Linked DNA regions of Astyanax mexicanus. The protein of the gene in region 1 interacts with the protein of each later gene in a biochemical or structural test. Links are inferred from orthologs where the notes say so. Each region holds a gene or a part of one and is shown on either strand. Other genes may lie near its edges.

Region 1 (7,981 bases):
AAAACACGAGGGCACGACTTGACTAAACGCTGACTTCTCCCCTTTGCTGAAAAATCATTATATAGTTTTAAAAGTTATATATACACTTCAGCAAAAACGCTAAAGCTACATAAGCTAAGCTAGCTAAGCTAAGCTAGCGTTAGCTTAGCTAAGCTAACTCAAGTAAACAAGCATTGCTGGAGCAGCTGCTTCTGCTGCTTTTATAAGGATAAAAAATGATTTTTTTTACATTTAAGCATTATTCACGCAGAGCAGACATAATTTAATATGATTAAATGTGTTGAAGTTGTAAATTGTGCTGTTTTGAAGTCTGACTGGGCATGAATTGGTTAAACACAGTAGAAAAGAAAACTGATGTCCTGCTTGAGTTGTTCTTAAGTATGCAATAAACTGTTCATTTATGATACATGTGTGTATTTATTACTCTCATATTCTTATGAAATATGAAACAGCTTCACTAAATCACACACAATGTTTTATGTCTCTCATACTTCATATATCAAACAATGTGAGTTAAAAATAGGAATATGCACTGATACCCTTCCTATACTTATTTTTAATATCAACAGATTTTTTATATCAAAGTATTTAAGCAGTATTCAAGCAGAGCAGCCAGAATTTAATATGAATAAATGTGTAAAGTTGTGAATATTGCTGTTTCTAAGTCTGATTGAGCATGAAGTGGTTAAACTTAGTCAAACCAAATAAGAAGGAAAAAGTGATGTCCTGCTCGAGTTGTTCTTAAATATGCGAAAAAAATGCAAATTTATGATAGATTTATGTGAATTTATTACTGTAATATTCTAATAATATTAAACTAGAAAATTCAATTGAAAATAGGCATTGTATGCACCAATATCCTTCCTATACTAAAGCCAGATTTCCAATGTCAGGGTACTGACATCTATAGATATAAGCAAGGATATGGCTATTCTATGTAAAATATATTTATTAGCCATATTTATAGTGTTCCATGGTAAATGCAGTGTTCTGTATCCCAAATATGATACAATAAGCTTAAAAGAACAAAATTGCCTAGTTTAGTAGCTAGTTTGCAAGCCAGCTGCACATTTGAAAACATAGCTAAAACGCACACATACAAATAGGAAAGCATAAAAACAGGAACGTATCTATAGCATTCTATTGCAGGCACTTAAATCAAACAAACCCATTGTGATGTATGTGTCACAGACCCTTTAAAAACTCTTGAAGTTCTTTAGCCAGTTGAAAGTAGAGATATACACTAATACTCTTCCTATAATAAAGCAAGATTTTCAATAGCAAGAATACTGATACCTATAGCTTCATGCTAGGATATGACTCGTATAGTTACTATATTTATAGCATATTAGTTATAATATATTATTTATAGCGTTCCATGGTGGCTAATTGCAGTGTTCTGTATCCCACATAAGATATACCAAGCTTTGTAGAATAGCATTTACTAGTTCATTAGCAAGGTAGATAGCCAACTACACATTTAAAACGTTTCAGAGAAAAAAATTATTGAAGCATGAAAAAGGGAAGTGTCTCTATTGCAGATACTTGTCTCAAAAGAAGCCATGGTGACGTATGTGTGTCACAGATCCTTTAAAAGCTGTGTCTGTTTTTCTTTACTTTAACAACTTTGTGACACATAACCTACACATAATCACTACAGGATGCTTTAATGTATTTGTATTTATTACAGAATGTAGGAGAGGTTTAGGGTTAGTGCTGGAGATAAAACTACACCAGCTTTTTATTTAAGTGTATTTACTGTTATTTGCATTTAAGTATTCAAACATTCAATGCTGTTGTCATGTATGTTTAACATTATTATTATATTTTAAATTTACAGACATGGCCCACAGTAACAAACACATATAAATTAGCTTCTTATTGAATTGAAATTGGTTTCAATATTTAAAAAATGGGTCTGGGCACTTATATGGTTAAATATACGGAGCTAGCTATATATTGGTTGTATTCAGAGACCACTTCAGTTTCTTTTTCAGTTTTGCTATTTAAAGGTATATGTTTGAGTAAAATAAACATTGTTGTTTTATTCTATAAACTACTGACAACCTTCATCCCAAATTCCAAATAACAATATTGTCATTTGGAGCATTTTTTGCAGAAAATGAGAAATGGCTGAAATTACAAAAAGATGCAGAGCTTTCAGACCTCAAATAATGCAAAGAAAACGTCCACTTTCATAAAGTTCAAAGATCAGAACTCAATATTTGGTGGAATAACCCTGTTTTTTCATGCATCTTGGCATCATGTTCTCCTCCACCAGTCTTACACACTGATTTTGGGTAACTTTATGCATTTACTCCTGGTGCAAAAATTCAAGCGGTTCAGATTGGTTTAATGGCTTGTGATCATCCGTCTTCCTCTTGAATATATTCCAGAGTTTTTTATTTTGGTATAATTAAAGATTTTGAAGTGATCTCTTACTTTTTTCCAGAGCTGTAAATTAGATACTGATGTCTATGAGAGCCTGTTAGCTTCCTAGATTAGCTAACGTTAAATAAAGGTTGTTTAACAGTTGTTTATCCATTCTCAACACAAAATCTGTAGTACAACCGAGCACTGAACGTTTATTAAACGTTCTTCGCTATCATCCAAGTGAGTTTAGAGAGAAAACAAGGCGATAAAAGCTGGTAACCCACCCATTTATAAACTGACACTAACTACGCCCTTCCCGCAGCCCACAGCTCAGATCAGCCTGCTAGTTAGCATTAGCCTGTTAGCTAGAAACTTTTTCCAAAGCACTGTCTGCACAAACAACCAGAGAAAACAAAAACCCGGCAGAGTTTAACCTCAAAACCCGCCTAGCCCGGACAGCTGGACACCAGGCTGAGGATTAGCGGCTAAAGCTGTTGGAGATAAAGCTGTATTAACGCGCAGAATCAGTATTTATTACCTGAGTCAGGGAGAGACTGGCAGCCATAATGTTTCTGTTCCCACTAGTCCATCACCCTGCGCTGCGATAGGCAATGGGGCAATATAGGGAGGCTGGAAACCCCGGTACCGGATTTACTCCATAAAGGAACGGACTGCTGCAATATGACCTCAGTCTAGCGCGCACACAGACGGCGGAGCAAAAACCTGACATGGATTTCAGGTTTTAGGAGAAGGCTGCTGTATTTACATTCTGAAAACTGTTTAGTGATCTTACGTTACTTTCTAAGATTTTATTTTACATGTATCTCTGGGAAAAATTATGAGTTTCTCTGATTTTACCAAATGAAAAACCTCTGGAATATAATTAAGAAGAAGATGGATGAGCACAAGCCATCAAGCTAAAATAAACTGATTGAATTTTTGCACCAGGAGTGGCATAAAGTTATCCAAAAGCAGTGTGTAAGACTGGTGGAGAAGAACATAATGCCAAGATGCATGAAAACTGTGATTAAAAACTACGGTTATTCCACCAAATATTGATTTCTGAACTCTTAAAAAACTTTCTTAATATAAGTGTAGCCAGCTATTGTGGGTGTGTGTGTGTGTGTGTGTGTGTATGCGTGCAGGTGCAGGGGGCGTGAACGAGTTACGTCATTAACTAGGGCGCCAGCATTAGCGAGTCAGTGTGGTCCTGCAGGCACTTATATACGCACCTATAGGGGGTCCTATTGAAGGTAGCACTGTGTGGCTAAGCTAACGCGAGTAGCAGCGTGGGCTGGAGACGATTCTCTGAGCTAGTGAATTACTCAGTGAGAACAGGAGTGCCCGAGGCTGAGCGACTGTGAGTGGCTATAAATAGCAACAGTCTGTGTTTGTGCCTGGCGACGTGATATAAGAGGTAGGCTGGCTAATTATATGATATGCTGGGGTTAAGTTACACTGTTTGTTTGTTAACTCTTGGCTAAGCTGCTTGTTAATCACTACTTATTCTGACTAACTTTTTTTTACACTCTGTTTGTTTGTTAGCTCTTGGCTAAGCTGCTTGTTAATTCCTACTTATCCTGACTAACTTTGAAGGTATTTTTGATCAGGTAGGCTTAAACTATTGCACTTTTTAAAGTTCTGTAATAGTTTGATTATTTTAGCTTTGGTTGCTACCACTATATTTAACTGCTACCACTATAGTTAACACTAGTACTCTTTCGAATAGTTATCTGGGGGCTCTAGGTAAGATGTATGTCTCCATATGCTCTGTAATAGTAGGCAAGTGTCTGCTGCATTCTAATTGTACATTATTAGAGACACTATGCTTTTGAGCTGCTTTAGCTCCATGTGCTGTCTTGTAATAGTTTGAGTGTTTTAGCTTTGGTTGCTGCTATTATATTTAACTGCTACTACTACATTTAACACTAGTACCATTTCTAGAATGGTCACTTGGGGACTTTAGGTAAGATATGTCTCTATGTTCTGAACAGAATGCAAAATGGGTTTTATATCATGTTTCAATTGCTTTTGTGTGATCTATTTCTAATAGAGGTTTAAAGCTGCTACCCTGTCCATGGGCGAAGTTAGCATTCCACCTTGAGTTAAGTGGTATGTCTCTTCTGGTAATTGAATGCAAGTTGCACTGTTTTTATGTGATGAATGTATTAATGTGTGTTTTGTGTATTTGCATAGAGAGCCACAGTTCCAGTGGTTGCCAGTTGCTGTTTTCTGCTCTTTTTTTGTATTTCTTTTTTTTATTTTTTTATTCTACCATAAATTTTGTAGCACTAAGTGTATTAACTGCTCAGGTATTTTTAAGTATTGTGGTTTTTAATGATGTGCTCTGTATAGACTCTAGCCTAGTGGTAACCACATGGTACAATTAGTCAATTTTAGCTGTGGCTATAATTGTTACTGGGACTGGGGGTTTGGAGTCAACCATATTCGGCTAAGTCCTGTTCACTAGAAGTGTGATTCTTTTTTTTTTGTACTTAGTTTATTTTATTTTTAAGTTTGCTGTGCAGTGATTAAGTAAACTTTATTCACGTGTGTTCTTTTGGTCCTATTGGATTGACTTCATATTTCTCCATACCCTGGACCCAGTGGTCATGGGTAAATTGTGATTTTCTTAAATTTTTATATATATATTTCCTCTCACCCAATAAATGAAACTGACAGTAGATTTGACTTTGGTACGGTTTTAAATAAATCATTGTATTTTGTACTACAGTCAAGTTCTTGTGTCTTATTTGAGAGTTCCCCTTACTCTAAATAAAATAAGTAATTTAAGGGGTGGCGTAGTCTGGTAACCCCTAGTTAGGGGCCGCCACATAAGTTTGCTTTCTTTGCATTTTTTAAGGTCTGAAAACTCATCTTTTTGTTACATATACCTATTTCAGAGAATTGATTTGGTCTCTTAATTGTTTTCCATAGCTGTATATATATATATATATATATATATATATATATATATATATATATATATATATATATATATATATATATATATATATATATATATATATATATATACATATACATACATATATATACATATATATATACATACATACATAAATTATACCTAAGCATATTTCTAAATACAGGATGATCTCAATTCAACAAAATGATACAGTTTTTGTCACTTAAAAGTTTTTCATCTCTAAAAAAAAGATGTAGGATACTGGATAGAAAAATAATACAAATTTGATTTAAGAAAAAAATAATAAAAAAAAGTAAACTATATATATAATATAGGAAAATGTTTAAAATAATGAAAAAGATGCCATCTGCCATTCTTTTTGAACACAAATGTATAACCTGCAAGCTAAAATATGCACTGATGAATTTTGTACTATTTCCAATTAAAGCTGATGTCTGTAAGTTTTGATCTACTGAGCTCTGAGTTTCCTCTTCTGAAGTCTTCAATGCTCCACCAGCCGCTTGCGTTCAGTAAAACTGAGCCGGATCCTCTTTTAGAGGCTGTACGTGTGACGTAAGTATGTAAAGACGTGTAACGTGGCCAAAAGAAGAACTCACGCGAAAAGCGACCCAACACCCCAGTTTTTAGAATTAATATATGAATATGGCTTAGCAGGGATATAGGGATAAAATACAAAATATTTTATCCCTATACTTCTCCACTCAGAAATGCTTCTGCTTTCAGTTTAGAAACAAAATAATACGGACTGCCACTTTAACGTAGACTAAACTTTTATAACAATGTATTGCTTTATTGTACAGTATCCTAACTATGGTTCAACTAATATGTCTGTGTGTATCTAGAAATAACCCCAGCCCATCCCAGGTTTGGGATAATGGAGAAAAAGCTTGATCCTTGTATAGTCTATAAGAAATGACCATTCTTTATCGCTTAATCCTTCTGCATACACACACCTGTAAATACCTGCAGGGTGTAAATACCTGTATGTGTGCATATTTTAGAATGTGGTAATGAATGTGAATGTACTGTAACAGAGTTTATAGTTCACACAGGAACCTGCCAGTGCGGAACACTGAAATATGGACTTCACCATAATATATATTTTAGGTCACAAATGCATGAAAAAGCAATGTTTAAACTTCCACAGATGCATATTTTTGAGCTAAGATGCTTGTGCTCTAGTGCAACATCTACTGGCAGAAATCATATAGTGCTCCCTTAAAAAGCCACTTTTTACCTCAAAATCTCTAAAAACCAATAAGCTATTTGGTGCTCCTTCAGTGCATACATTATCTAGCATCCCATAAGATTTTTTTGGTAAACTAGAGCCCAACAATAATAACTCACAAATGGAGATAGACAGTAAATAATAATATTTTTATGTCTGTTATTACACAAAAGGTCTAATTTTATTTTATTGGAAATATGACATTTTGTGGTAGCCCTGAAGCACAACAATGGATTAACACGTCCAGTTAGTCTAGTTTCTAGTCTAGTACCTCAACTTCAGCATTAACTCACTAAATTAAAAGAGTATCAGACTCCAACAGCATAAACAGTGTTGTTTAATTTAGTGTGTATTTGTGCATATAGTAAAAAAGTGGATGTGAGGGGGAGACTGCTTTTTTAACAATTTAAAGGCTTAAATGCTCTCAAAACAGGATCATTTTGATAAGAACCTAGAGCTGCATATCACAATATTTTGTTGTATTGTGATATATATATATATATATATATATATATATATATATATATATATATATATATATATATGTTACATATGTTATATAATGTTAGATATACAGAATACAGACATTTTACTAGTTTTCTTCAGAGGTCCATGATCCATTATGTCATGTCATAATCATAGTACACTCTCACAAGTGAGAATATTCCTTTCATACTAAACAAGCAAAAAAAAAAAAAAAGCCTGACCCTTTTCATTTTATTTGATCTTTGAAATCGAACATCCTGGGATTTGACTATTGCACATGGGCATATTGCAATGATGATGATAAAACAATATATGAGTGAAAGTCATAAATTATGTAGATGTATAACACACAGAGTGATTTATTTTTATTGATTATTTATTTTATTGTTGATGATTATGACTCAGTGTCTCAGAAAATTAAAATATTATATAAGACCAATTGGTACTTTTGGCAGTGTGCCAAGTCCTGCTGGAAAACGAAATCCGCATCTCTATAAAAGTTGTTATCGGCAGATGGAATCTGTAAGATATGAAGCGCTGTAAGATTTTGTGGGAAAACAAAACTGCACTGACTTTAGACTTGATAATAAAACACAGTGGATCAACACCAGCAGATGACAGACATGGCTCTCCAAACCATCACTGATCATCAGTACATTTCACATTTCATTTATAGATCAAGAGAGCAGAGTCTGGAGGAAGAGTGGAGAGACACACAGTCCAAACTGCTCGAGGTCTAGTGTGAAGTTATACAGCAAACTTTTTTTGGAGATGCAGACTTCATTTTCCAGCAGGACTTGGCACACTGCCCACACTGCTAAAAGTACCAATTGGTCTTATATAATATTCAAATTCAAATTCCTGAGATACTGACTTTTGGGTTTTCATTGGCTGTAAGTGATAAATCAACAATCAACAATAAATGAAATACATGCTTAAAATAGATC
Region 2 (7,711 bases), on another chromosome or scaffold:
CTATACTAGCTCGCTAGCAGGCCTTAGCTTAGCCTTAGACTAGCTCACTAGTTTGCTAGCTAGCTCCCTAGCTAGGCAGCTCACTCATTCCCACCTCTTTAAAGAAACTAGCTAGGCAGCCTAGATAGATAGGTAGGTAACTAGCTAGTTAAATAGGTGAGCTATATACCGATTAATTTAGCGGTAATACAATTGATTGACCTTCTTTCCTCGATTTGACATTTTCTCCTAGTTCTTAAGTTTCCTACTTTTTCAGTCACAGTGAAGTGTGCTTGAGTTAAAGATAAATAACTAACTAGCAAGCAATGCATCAAAGGAGCATAGCCAAGGATAGGATACAGAAAGGGATTAGATACAGTTCAATCAACCTGAATCCTGCTTAATAATGAAGAAAGCTGCAAGTCTGAAACCTTGATTCACATTTATATACATATATACTTACATAAAAAGGTTTATCAAGTATCAAGCTCAGCACAAGCTAGGTTTGTTTACAACTGGTTAGTTAGCTAGGTTAATCGATAAATTAACCTAATCACGAGCTAGGTTTTTCCACACATAATTCTGCATGTGTCCCTGTAAAACTTTAATATAGTCTTAAATATTAAGTTAACACTGTAAAAAAAAGATTTTAATTTGTTTCTTGAGATTGATGTGCTAATTTCCTGTAAATTGCAATGACTTTGAAACCAATAAAACATTAAATAACAAAGAAAGAAGACAAACTTGTAAGGCAACCTAGATAGTTAGACAGGTAGGTAACTAGCTAGTTAACTGGCCAGTTTAGCTAACTCTTTTAGCTAACTACAGTTTAAACAAAATTAATTAGGTAGTTAATACATTTGAGCTTCTTTCCTCAACTTTTCCTCCTAGTTCCCTAGTTTCTAGTTCTTCTTAGAGTGAAGTGTGCTTGACTTACAGATATCTAAACATAACTTACTAGCAAGACATAAAGGGAGAAACCTAACTAGGTTAGATAACGTTAACTAATGTCGTTGTTACCTCAGATGAAAGATCTCTTAAAAAGGAGAAATCTGCATGTTTGAACCCTTTCTTTTTTGTGAAAACTACATGACAAAGATCTTCAATGTGAGTAAACACTTATAACATTGCTATTTTAATGCTCAAAACCTGTTCCGTCACTTTAAATTACTTTAAAAAGGTGCACAATTGGGCCTCCAAAGGCTAGATAGCCTCCAAGCTACGTTGTCCACTCATTCCAACAGCTTAAGCTTTAAAAAGGCAAGTTAGGCAGTGGGGGTGGGCGATATGGCTCTAAAATAATATCACGATATTTCAGGGACTGTTTGGCAATAACAATATACTTGGTGATATAGAAAAACTAAAATAATTCATTAATTTCAGGAATATAGTATAATAGTATAATCATAATGTGGCAAAATAAATAATATAGCATTAGATAATATAATGCCGCAAATAATACAGCAGAAAATTTAGTGCATGCATATGAACTGCAAACTAAAACAATTATACAATAAACACACTTAAAGCTTTGGAGTAAATAATAGACTACTTTTAAGACAGAACAGCCCAATTATCACGATATGAATTTTTAATATCATGATATTTCTGTGTCATGGTATTAGCCAGATAACTAGCTGGTTATATGCGTTGGCTAACTTAGATACTTCAGCTAACTAAGTTACATCTCAAAAACGGATTAATTTAGCGGTTAAAACATTTTCTTGACCTTTTCCTCAACTTGACGTTTCCTCCTAGCTCATAGTTCCCAAGTTCTTGTCAGAGTGAAGTGTTTCATTGCTCTTTTAATGCTAAAAAACTTTTTTTTTTTTTTTTTTTTGCTTTATGTTACCTGGTAAGCTACAAGGCCTCAGCTTAGGCAAGCTCAGTAGTTAGCTAACTAGTTCCCTAGCTCGACTGTTCACTAAAAAGACTACTTAGGCAGCCTAGGCAGTCAGCTACCTAGTAGTAAACTAGGCTAGCTAACCTAACGCTACCTTCTTCAACTTACTGCAGTTTAAAAACGGATTAATTCATTTATTGCCCTTCTTTTCTCAACTTGACGTTTCCTCCTTGTTTCTAGTTCTTGTCAGAGAGAAGTGTGCTTAATAGCAAGCTAGCTAACCTAGATAGCTACCTAGCAAGGCCTCAAGGGACCATAGCTAAAGACTGGATACGAATTAGCCAGCTAACTAACCGAGCAACCTAACTACCTAGGCAGGCTATCTAGCTAACGTTACATTACCCGGATGGCAGCTGCCTTTTATTATGAAGAAAGCTGCAAGTTTTAAAGCTAATTTTACACGAATTTATTTATATATGCATGTTTAAAAGGTTTAAATATACGTAGCAAGCTAAGCACAAGCTAGGTTTGTCAGTATGGACACGCCTGATGCCCAATCAGAGGCTTTCCTAGCAAATCCAGTCCGTGAAGTGACACTCCGCGCCGGAATTTCGTTCTAACTACATCGACGGGTCGGCTGCAGCTGAACTGCAGCATATCCGTTTACGCAGTTAGAACGAAACGCCGGAACTGGATTTTCAATCCACGGATCTGGATTAGCCACGGCCACTCATTGCTCGCTATTTTCACCGATTTATCTCACTAAGCACGCGTTTTAAAGTGTACAAAACTGCACCCTCGCCTACTCAACCTTCTCCGACTCGTGCCGTTAAGTTTGTGACTCGCTAAACGCCGTTCTTGAGTTTTTTAAACCTGTAATAAACGTTACTCGCCTTAGCTGCTCTACTTCCCGAGCCCCCTTACTCAGCCTTTACAGCCGCGGACAGTGTTAAAATAGCGCCGTTTCGAGGCGGCCCGGGAAGCCGCGAGCTCCATTACCGTCCTAACGGGTCTTTTATCGCTGTGGTTCCGAAAGACACCGTACTCACCAGCCGTACTGACACCAGGAAAGCGCTGGAATCGTCTCTGTTTGCGACGGAGGGAGGAACGGACCAGACATTCAAAATGGCGGCGGCCCTAGCCTCAGCACTTCTACTGCAGGCGGAAGGATACAGCGCGGAATCGTCTCCCACCGAACTTCAAGGTGGAAGCAGCGCGCGCGCGCATGCACACATGCACGCGCAGGCAGGAAGGACAGCACACATATATTATACACACAGATACATAGATAATTACAAATATATTACATGTATTTTATTATTTATTCTACCAATAATAATAGTTATAAAATGTTATTGTATCATATTTCAGTATTAAATATATTTTAAATTAATTTAATTTGATATAAGATATTGTGTACAATTATAGAATTAGTAAATTCCTCTAAATTCAAGTTTAAAATATTCACTTTTGCATGGTTATATATATATATATATATATATATATATATATATATATATATATATATATATATATACCCATGCAAAAGTGAATATTTTAAACAAAAAAAACGATTAATTATACAATTATGTATAATTATTTAATAATTATACAATTATTAAAAAAAAGCAATCAATTATACTGATATACTGAATATTTCAAGATAATCGTGCATCTATAGTTTTAAGTGATTTAATGTGCTAAAACGGTCTTATTGTACTGGCAAATAATATTGCTTACTCCAGGAAATAACTGATAATATTTTACTTTTAGTCAAGACATAATGATGAAACAGACACAACAATCTGCCATAGAATAAGACACTTTCAGTAGTTTAAATTATTCAGTAGATTAAATTACTTAAAATGTTATATATATATATATATATATATATATATATATATAAAAGATTTTAAGTAATTTATATATTATTTTAAGTAGTTATATATATATATATATATATATAACATTTTAAGTAATTTAATCTACTGAATAATTTAAACTACTGAAAGTGTCTTATTCTATGGCAGATTGTTGTGTCTGTTTCATCATTATGTCTTGACTAAAAGTAAAATATTATCAGTTATTTCCTGGAGTAAGCAATATTATTTGCCAGTACAATAAGACCGTTTTAGCACATTAAATCACTTAAAACTATAGATGCACGATGATCTTGGAATATTCAGTATATCAGTATAATTGATTGCTTTTTTAAGAACAATATGTGAAATTTCTCATTTTGCATGGTTGTCAGAATTTTAGAAAAAAAAGACATACATTGCCAGTCGTTTGGACACATCTTCTCATTGTTCTCATTGTCTCATTGTCACATCTTCTCACAATGTTGTTATTTTTCTTTCCTTTCTCTACATTGTAAATGAATATTGAAGTGATTCAAACTATGAAGGAAAACATAAGGAATCATGTAGTAATTTAAAAGTGTTAAACAAACCTGTGAAAAAGCATTTAGGTGCTCTTATCTGGGGAGCTGTTAACTTGTGGTTTCTGAGGATGGTAACTCTGATTAACGCATCCTGTACAACAGAGGGAACTCTTGCTTTTCCTTTCCTGGGGCGGTCCTGATGAGTATCAGTTCCATCATAATGTTTTTTTGCGACTGCACTTGAGGATTCTTTCAAAGTCCTTGAAATGTTTTGAATTGACTGACCTTCATTTCTTCTTAAAGTCATTTTTTTCTTTATTTAGTTGAGTAGTCTTTAGTCTTCACTATTTACAACTGATGCTCTCAAACACATTAAGAGACAAGAAATTCAAGTAATTAACTCTTGATGAGTTCAGCACAGCTGTTAACTGAAAGCCTGAAATCCAGGTGAATCTACCTCATAAAGCTGACTGAAAAAATCCAGCAGAGATGTGTGAAGTTGTTATCTAATCAAGAAGAGCTACATTAACAAATCTAAAATTTAAAACATATTCTGGTTTGTTTAATACATTTTTGTTTACTAAATAATTTAATATGTTTTTCTTCATAATTTGGATATTTGCATTTTAGAATAATCAAAAGTTATTGCATTTCTAAACTATTTTCCTTAAGTACTTATCATAAACTTTAAAAGGATTAAGCGACGCTGGTCATTCTACTACAATGGGCTGTGCTACTTTTAAATCCATTTATTTTAGGTAGTGTTTAATTTTTTTTAATTAGTTTCAGTACATATACTGCTTTATTTAATTTAATAATTAAAAATTAGGGTTTAAAGCTGTTAACAGTGTATTTAAGAAAAAAATGGCTAAGTAAATCTGAAACCAAAAAATGTGAAAACAAAATTCTCAGGAGAAACCCTTAATTGTATTGTATCTGCATCGGCAGATACATAAATGTATAATATCGTATATAAGCATCGGCCCCCGAAATTCGAAACATCAGAAACATCTGTGCATCTCTACTTAAAACAAGTACAAGGAAATTAAAAATAAGTTATTAATTACTGCAATGTTACTTTAATAATATCAGAGTAAGAAATGTTATTAATTTAGATTTATATTTTTTGCAGTATGTATAGCATTAATTATTGTGAATAAATAAAAAGAATTATATAAAAATAGTCTATGTTTATACATTAAATGCCCAGAATTTAGAATTAAAAAAATGGTGTATATTTAATACACTAATAGCTTTGGAAATGAACATTTTTTAAAATCAATTTTCAAAGCTAATTTTATTTGCATTGATTCGGGCCAGCTGTAAGCTGTTTACCAATTAACTGTTCGCTAAAGCTCACCCCTCTTTTTTAAATTAGATTTTTCAGGTTTTTTTTTTTTTTTTTACAATACACCTTTACAATATACTAATATTTTGTACACTAGATGTTGTACCATTTCCAGGGAAAATAATTGGGGGTGTTCTAAAACTTTTGACCGGTAGTCTATAATAATAAATAATTATTAATAAATAGAAAAGAACAGTCATTTGAACAATGTTATTTATAATAATAATATTTCTAATATTCTTAAATAAATGTACATACATAGGATAGAAACAATACAATTAACAACATTAAACAGCACTTACATGACTGCAGGAACATCCTTACTGAAGCTCAAACTGGTTAAACTGGGTTAAATTTTTACCATAATCAACCTGACCAAGCTAAATAACCAGTATAATCAAACTTCACCAAATCTGGTTTACCAGCAAGACCAAGCATGACAAAAAGTCAACCTTAAATGATTAAGTGGCACCAGTGAGCTGAGCTTTACTTTAGTTTCTTGTAATGAATTCTGCTAATTGCACTTGGATTTAAACAAATAAAGCATGACTAATATTTATGACTAATCATTCATGGCTACTGATATGATACATGCTGTACATTTATGGTGAATAAATAATAAACAGCAAAACCGCTTGCCAAAGAAAAATCACCATAACCTTTTAGAAATTACAGACTCTTTCAGTTTAAAACAATTCTCAGACTTTTAACATATTCTACTTTAGCTAATTCTTCGTTATTAATATGACATTTCTGGCAAGAACAAACAAATTCACAGATAATTGCGTATGTTTTGTGTCTTTACTTAGAATGCATTATAATGCATGTAAGAGAAACTTTAGAATTATAGTTTTCACCACAGCTTCCAAAAGAAAACGTACAAATATTGCTCACATCACAATATTTAATCAACACAGAACTGCACAGATTAAATATTACAGAGAATTTTTATTATATTTATTTAATTTTTTCTGAATTCATCTCTCTAAATAATCAACTCTATACTCTGATTTTTATAATACAATATATAGAAGGAATCAACCAATCTTTCAATAACAGCAATATATAGATATTAAATAGGAAATAAGTAGATAATATAATATACAGTATATTATACATTATCAGTCAAATGTTTGGAAACACCTTACATTCAGTGGCAAAATAAATTGAAGATTAATATTATTAATATTAAGTCATTAAAAATATGATTTTTTTCAAAAAGATTTTTCAAAGTAGCACCTCTTGCTTAGATGACAGCTTTCCACATTTTGCATCACACAATGGCTTTCAGTTAACAGCTGTGCTGAACTCGTCAAGAGTTAATTACTTGAATTTCTTGTCTCTTAATAAAGTGTTTGAGAGCATCAGTTAAAGTAAAGTAGTGAAGAGGTAGAGTTACAGGTATACAGTGAATAGTGAATATTGAGTAATGTTCGAATCCAGATTATGAGAAGCAAGAACTACTCAGCTAAATAAACAAAAAAATTATTTAAGAAATGAAGGTCAGTCAATCCAAAACATTTCAAGAACTTTGAAAGAATCCCGAAGTGCAGTCGCAAAAAAAAAAAAAAATTGTCGGTTCAACATGATGAAACTGGCTCTCATCAGGACCACCTCAGGAAAGGAAGAACAAGAGTTTCTTCTGTTCTACAGGATCATTTCATTACAGTTACCAACCTCAGAAACCAACCAGCAAGTTAATAGCTCCCCAGATGAGAGTAAGGGTTTGTTAAACACTATTAAGTTACTACATGATTCCTTATGTGTTCCTTCATAGTACTGGATGACTTCAGTATTCATTTACTATGTAGGAGAAAAAAATATATAGCTGTTTTTATGATTATTATTATTATTATTATTGGACTAATCTAAGGAACTAAATAAAATTACATAACAGATAAAATAAATAGTTTCTTTTTTTCATTAATTTATTTATTTATTCCACATATACAAACAGAGAAAATATATTATTCACGTCAACTATACACCAGTTTATACCTTAAACTCGTGCAGTATATAGAGTATTTAGTGTATTTTGTGTCTGTTATTATGTCACTATAATAAAGTGACAGACCAGGAAGCTACAGTTATCCACCTGTCTGTTTATAATATAGAACTCCAGTGATTTATCACCGTAAATCACGTTTAAACCGGGTAA
Region 3 (6,978 bases), on another chromosome or scaffold:
TGTCACGTTCAGTCACATTTAATCAAAAGTAATCTTTACATCCCATCTACTGTTCTAAAAGACCTCATTCAGAAATAGGCTATTCTGCTTATTGCACATTTTCCAGATTCCCTCACTCTTTCTCTCTCACAGACACACACACGCGCGCGCGCGTTCACAAACACATGGAATAAAACACGCTCTTTTTCACACTCTCTCTTTCTCTCTCTGTCACACACACACACACACTTGCCCAACAAACCCAGGAGCAGCGCATGTTGTAGTGTATCTTTGCAGGGGTGCCCAGTTGCGTTGCACGGTAAACGGAGACAAAGGCCCGCGCACGTTTGGATAGATCACTAGTGACATTAATGGCTCAGCGGAGGCTAATAGAGACAATGGCAGTTAAGCGAACTCCGGAGATTGCTAATATAACAACCAATTACGGCGCAGATATGGAGAGAAAAAGAAGACATCCCTTAATATTCACCCACGACGAATTTAACAAACGCATCGAAAAAAAAAACATAAAATAAAACGAGTTGCCCGGATTCAATTTATGCATTCATTCTCTTCCAACCAGGAGACAAAGCCAACTCTACAGCACCAAACTGTTAGAAAATCAACCACGGTTCTCGTGGATAAAGTATCAAAAATCCGTGCTCGCCCAGCGTTAAGGCTGCCATTTTAAATGCAATCATGATGGTGCAGAACTAGTCGATATAAAGAACGCACCATTTTTCTCTCTCTCACTCACTAATACACACATGCACACAGACACACACGCTTACGGATATGCTATACAGGGCGATTTTTAGCTGTAGCAAATTTCAAATAATTTAGACTTTTAAATAGACTTTCTAGAAAAACAGGCCTGCAAAAAGTCTTATTTTTAAGGTGAGATTGTGCAGAGCCAATACGGACGCAGGGTTTTTTTAAAAGCCGCATACCTTTCTTGATGACGGTCTGGTCAGGGATGTGAATTCCTTGATCCTCAACATGCTGTAAAATAGTTCAGAATAAGCCATTAAAACACACTCAGAATGTAGAGAGGCTTCTATTTGGTTTGGCAAAATCAGATTGCTAAGCAAACGAGGAACCATTCAATGAATCTCATCACTGTTTATGACAGTCCACTACCAAATGCATAGTGATGTGTAGCACAATAAAACTGTACTTTATCTCTTGCACAAGCTGTAAAAAGACAAATACATGAGAAATTACAACGATGCTTTAAAAATATTTTTAATCGATTTAAATATACTGGTTATTTTTATTATTATTTTTATTTATTTCTCCCATCCCACCTGCCTGGCGATAAATGAAATAAATGTTTTCTACGCAGTGAATATATATGGTATTATTCCTGAGTATTTCTGAAAAATGTTTCCGGGTCGAATGCGTCATTTAGCCTCGTTATTTCTCTTCGCTTGAATTTTTTCACGGGGCAGACTACAATTAAATTAAAGGGGAAGGAAATGGGGGAAGAGGAGGAGGGTAACCAGGAATCACGTCCAAAAAATGACAGAGAGTATTAAAGCAAAATGTGCAATATAGCATGTTATGTTCCTGAGATGACGGTGCAATTATTTGATTGTTAATAAAGTACTTATTATAGTACTTTTTTACTTTAGTCTTTTTGAAATATAAAAAATGCAAAAGACAAAATCACACAGTAAATTCACCAGTGTATAAACAACACTATTAGTGCTAATTTAATTTAAAAAGTGTATAATGTAACACCGACAGCTTTGATTTAACACTGGCACATTTTCTGTCCAGATAAACATGCTGGCTATTTAAAAATAATTTTAAAGAAACGCAAATTTCCAGTTTTTAGTTAATATATATATATATATATATTATATTGTTGAGGTTAACAAAAACACAGAATCTAAATTCTGAAGGCTCAAATGCCTTTAAATCGCATATTAAATACATACCTACATTAAATACATACATACATACAAGTCACCACTACTTACTGTACCAGTACTAACCAGTAAAACTATTTTAACACGCATTTGTTGGCCCGATAATTAGTAACTTTTATTTCCAGACAAATACATTGTTTACAGTTTCACCATTAAAAAAGCTTTAGAATACAAAACTACAGGATTACGAGAAGTTTTGCTCTTACCTGCACGTCGTCTAAAGAGTGAGGTATTCCGTGGATTGGGATAGAGTCTGTAAGGCCGGTCTCGAGACCGTGGCCGGACGGCAGCAGAACCTCTCTGCGGTATTCCCGGCACAGTTGGTGGGGCAGGCCGCGGTGCTGGTGCAGTAGACTGCTCTCCTGGCTCTGCCGTTGGCTTGGCCATCCCGGGTGCTGGGGCTGTGGTTGCGCGTGCAGCGAGTTGATGGAATAGGGGTCATTGACGTGCGAATAAGGGTCCTGAGACTGCGGATAGATGGGCTGGTAGGGCGGCGGGAAGTAGGGCGGCTGGAAGTCCGAGTTGGGCGTGTGAGAAAGCGGTGGCGCACTTGTGTACGGTGACTGACCCACACCGCCCAGTTGAGGTAACCGGGCCGTGCCATTGCTGGTCCCGTCATGGCGATCCTGCAAGACGGAGAGAGAGAGAAGAAAGAAGAGAAAATAAGAAAGGGCGGACAGCAACAAGAATTCTAAAGAATTTCGTGCAAAAAATATCAGATTTTTTTCATATTATAGTGGCCAAACAATAATACTAATAATAGTATTATAATATATTATTACTAATATAATACTACAACTCCCACTACTACTACTGATACGACTACTATTAATATAATAATAATAATAATAATAATAATAATAATAATAATAATAATAATAATAATAATAACAATAATTTTTGACTACATAAATCAATTTCGTTTCCCATAAAATACACATAAAATTGTAAAAAAAAAAAAAAAACACACAAAAATATATTCAAATATTGAAAAAAAAATATCAAGAGCTCACATCCAGTAAAAAGTCTTTGTAATGGTATTTGATATTAGATATTATGGCTTGCATGACGATGCAGACATAAATATACACAAAAAGGGAAAAAAGACGGTCCTCTCTACACTTTCATCCCGCCAGCCCCGCACTCACTCACCATCGCGGAAAAGCTGTGCACTAACATCTGAAGAGATTTCCGAGCGTTTCTGCAAGGAGAACGCAAAAACCTGGGCAAAGAGCCGGAGCGGTCGAACCGGAATAAAGAGCCCACAGCACTGAGGCGGCTTTTCTATGTATTTCTCTTTCTTTCTTGCGTTCTTTCTGTTTGTCTGTGCGTCGAGGTCACGGAGTCCCAGTATTCAAATACGCGGAGAAGAAGCACGATAATCCATCAGAGCCTGGGTAAAATTCCCAATGTTCTTCATCTGCTGTTGGAGACGGAAACCAAAACCAAAATAAAAAAATTCAAAAAAGAAAAAAAGAAATAAATGCAGTTTTGTTGTTGTTGTTTGGAGGGTCTTGGCGGATCGGAGTGTTTTTTAAGTTTCTTAGATCCTCTTTTCCTTCGCCTCCTTCGCTCTCTCAGTAAGCTGTTCCCTCGCTTGGGCGCATATTTAGCAAAAGAGCTGCCTCTTCTTCCTCTCGGACTCCTAATAGCAGATATTCATGACTATTAATATTACACGAATACTTAATAAGGGAAGAATGGTCGGAAATCGAGCGTGAAGCGAGGAAGCAACTCAAGGCAGACTCCGCACTAAATGACGTCCATTGAATGAGGAATCAGTATATCTAATCAGAGATGGGGAGAGAAAGAGAGGGGGAGTGGGTGAGAGAGAGTGAGAGAGAGAGGGAGGGAGGAAGAGAGAGACAAAAAGAGGGACATTCTCTGGCGTCTGACGAATCAGAGAGAGAGGGGGGCGTTTTAAAAGATTTGAGGGCGAGGAAAAGTGAAAGAACGAACGACAGAGAGAGAGGAACCCAACTAAGAACCGAAGCAAAGAAAACGTCGAGCGCCTCAGACTGCTAAGAGAATCCGACGAGGGCTAGGGAATTTCTGAGCATGTTTGGTGCTGTTCCTTCTCTTTTTACTACTTTTCTCTTTTTGTCGCATGGCCTTCCCAAGCTGCTCCCCGAGAGCTCAGCCACATGACTAACAACACACAGCTGAATTGGCTCTATGAGCTGGCCAAAAAAACTCCAAAGTTTACGACTTAACGTTTACTCAAAACATACACACGCACACACACAGGGACAGAGCAAACGTCCACCCCTCCGCTTCTCGGCTTATTCGCACGCGATCCTGTTCATCACGGGTTTTTTATTTAAAAAACAAAAATACTCGATGTAAATTAAATTAAACGAGCAAATAAATAAAATCACACAAGCTTGAACAATTCGTGCGAAAGAAGAGTCAAAATTTATGTGTCTGTCGTCCGTAGGGGAACAAAAACATGCTCGACTGGCTGCAGCAATCCACACACTCCACACAAACACACGGGCAGCACCGTCCTAACCTTCCTTCCAATTGAGCGATCACACCGATACAGCTTTAAAAGAAACAGCTACAGCAAAACCACCGTGCTAATTTTTGGTAGTTTATTTTTAGCATTAAAATTAATTGATTAAAATCTAAATAAAATAACAAGTGTTACTTAATAATAACATTGATTAGTATCACTTATTTTTTAGTAACATATAATAACATTATTATTAATAATATTAAAAAAATAATAATAAATAAAATAATAATAATATCACCATCATTATTAATATTGTTATTATTTTTACTAGTATTACTCTTAATAATATTAATGCTATCAATGCTAATAATAGTAATGAAAATTGTATTTTTAATAATAATTATTATAACAATACATTGACATTAGCATTTAAAAAAGTTAATAATATGTTTCTATGTTTATTTATGCAAATGTGTTTGGGGTTTTTATTTTGCAAGTTGTGTTTTTGTCAAAAATGCTGTATTACTCATGATTTCATCATCCGGAATATTTACTATTTACTATATATACTATTATATATTAATATTGTTATTGAGACAATAATAATTGTTATTGATATTAATTATATTGTTATTATTTCTAAACAAAAATCATGAACATGTTTGATAACGAAAGCACGTGCAGATATGTAAAAAATATGAAACACTTTTAGATATGCATTACTTATTATTAAATAAAAATTATAATGAAATACACTATAAAATTCTGCAGATTTTTTTTCAAGCGCAACAAAAATATCTTAAATAGAAATAAACTCGTTTCTTACCTCACAGTCTTCATATTTAATATTATCTGTTAATTTCCACAGCATTTTCATGGGTTGTGAAGTGAGTATAGAGCGTCTTTGCCTAGTTTTACACCCAGTGCGCAGAGCTCAAGATGGCAGAGCTTCGGCGGGCTGAGCAGTGCGCGCGCTCAGATCTCCCTCTAATGGTGGAAGTTTAGAGGCTCGCACAGCGCTGGTAGAACTCCCTCATTAGCATATCAGCTTGATTTTCATCTAGCCATCACCAATGAACACACTCAGGTACAAAAAAAAAAACATTCGCTCAGAGATCTGAAGTCTGAAGTGTTTGGAGAGCTTTGTTTTCCTCCCCAACTCCAACAGAGGTACAGTAGGCTATCTGCTGGGTGAGAGCTCGAGAACATCTAATATACATCCCCACTTCAGCTAGTAGTAGTATTTGCTGTAAAGTAGTTTGGCAAAATGCAAGTTTACCTATAATGCGCAAGCTCAGCTGAAAAAAATGTGCATGAGACCAAAAGGAACAAAACTATTTCCAACCTTGTAAACAAAAAAAAAACATTTATATTTTAACTACATACTATAAATCTATATTTATATTTCAGTATATATAGGCCATTTATTATTATTATTATTATTATTATTATTATTATTATTATTATTATTATTATTATTATTATTATTATTATTATTATTATTATTATCATCTAATTGCATCTGTCATTTTTTATTGCACCGTTTCAGGTGCAATTCAACATTGCTGCAATGACAGCTCTCAAAACCAAGCTTCTTCTTTAGCATATCAGTGACCTTTATGGTACAATGCAAATATCCAGCACACCTCTCCGTCGCCACAGATACTTTGTTGGCGCAAGGATTTTCGTAAACTGTTGTTTTAGACCCATTGAGAAGCTTAGCCCGCGAGACGCTGCTGTCTCTGTTATGCAAAGCGGTCGATTCTAGTGCAGGTACAGGAGCTCCATTGAGAGTGCTGTTTTGGAGCTGTCAATAATTAACACAACAACGTGCGGTCGTTAAATGTGAATGAGGGAGTGGACGACGAGAGGGGCTTGGCCCCGCGACAGCGGCGACACGAGCACCCCGGGACCCCGGGTCACGGCGAAAAGGCACATGGGCGACAGGTTTAAGGCGTTGGCCTTCTCCATTTCAGTAGCTATTATCATTGGTGTGGGGGGTAAAAAAACAGCCATTGAAAGCAGTTGTCATTAATGAAAGGGCAAAATGAAACTCGCTCACAATAGCAATTATTAGGGCAGAGAAAAGTGCAGCAGAGGTGCATGGGGCCGTAAAGACACCGGGCTGGTGATAAGCAGCAAGCTCTGCTGAAACTAGGGCCAACCTCACTGCATTCTTCTGCAGATATGTTTAGGCTTATAGAGTGTATTTTTTGCGCCCCCCCTTGCTGTTCAGCGATCGTGGTGGGAAAACTCCGCGTCCTGCCCTTCGATGCTAAATAATACCTGTGTTGGGGTTTAAGAAAATACATTTTAATACTTTACCTGTTGTGTTAAGAAGCTTTTGACGACAAAAAAACTAGTGCAGTTTACTTGGTTGATTTAATTCTCAAATAATAATAATAATTTACCACTTGCAAAATTTAGTATGATTAATTTGGCAATGTTTAAAGAGTATATATATATATATATATATATATATATATATATATATATATATATATATATATATATATATATATATATCAGCCCTTGTAATATATATATTTCCTTCAGGACAAAAGTTCTCCAGACAGTCTTATGTTGACTGTTTTGTTTTTTCGTCAA

What was found.
Region 2: the proteins of eps15 (region 1) and ap1g1 form a complex in vitro, tested with the Homo sapiens proteins (2 studies listed by BioGRID). The link is inferred for Astyanax mexicanus from reciprocal best matches to the Homo sapiens genes EPS15 and AP1G1.
Region 3: the proteins of eps15 (region 1) and tfap2a form a complex in vitro, tested with the Homo sapiens proteins (2 studies listed by BioGRID). The link is inferred for Astyanax mexicanus from reciprocal best matches to the Homo sapiens genes EPS15 and TFAP2A.

The regions. Positions count from the first base shown.
Region 1 is NC_064419.1:46,970,638-46,978,618, forward strand, and holds the start of eps15 (epidermal growth factor receptor substrate 15), read right to left. Parts: upstream 3,008-7,981; 5' UTR 2,939-3,007; coding exon 2,912-2,938; intron 1-2,911. UniProt on the Homo sapiens protein: Involved in cell growth regulation. May be involved in the regulation of mitogenic signals and control of cell proliferation. Involved in the internalization of ligand-inducible receptors of the receptor tyrosine kinase (RTK) type, in particular EGFR.
Region 2 is NC_064423.1:38,501,206-38,508,916, forward strand, and holds the start of ap1g1 (AP-1 complex subunit gamma-1), read right to left. Parts: upstream 3,011-7,711; 5' UTR 2,872-3,010; intron 1-2,871. UniProt on the Homo sapiens protein: Subunit of clathrin-associated adaptor protein complex 1 that plays a role in protein sorting in the late-Golgi/trans-Golgi network (TGN) and/or endosomes.
Region 3 is NC_064408.1:107,714,064-107,721,041, forward strand, and holds the start of tfap2a (transcription factor AP-2-alpha), read right to left. Parts: upstream 3,011-6,978; 5' UTR 2,981-3,010; coding exon 2,927-2,980; intron 2,540-2,926; coding exon 2,120-2,539; intron 982-2,119; coding exon 930-981; intron 1-929.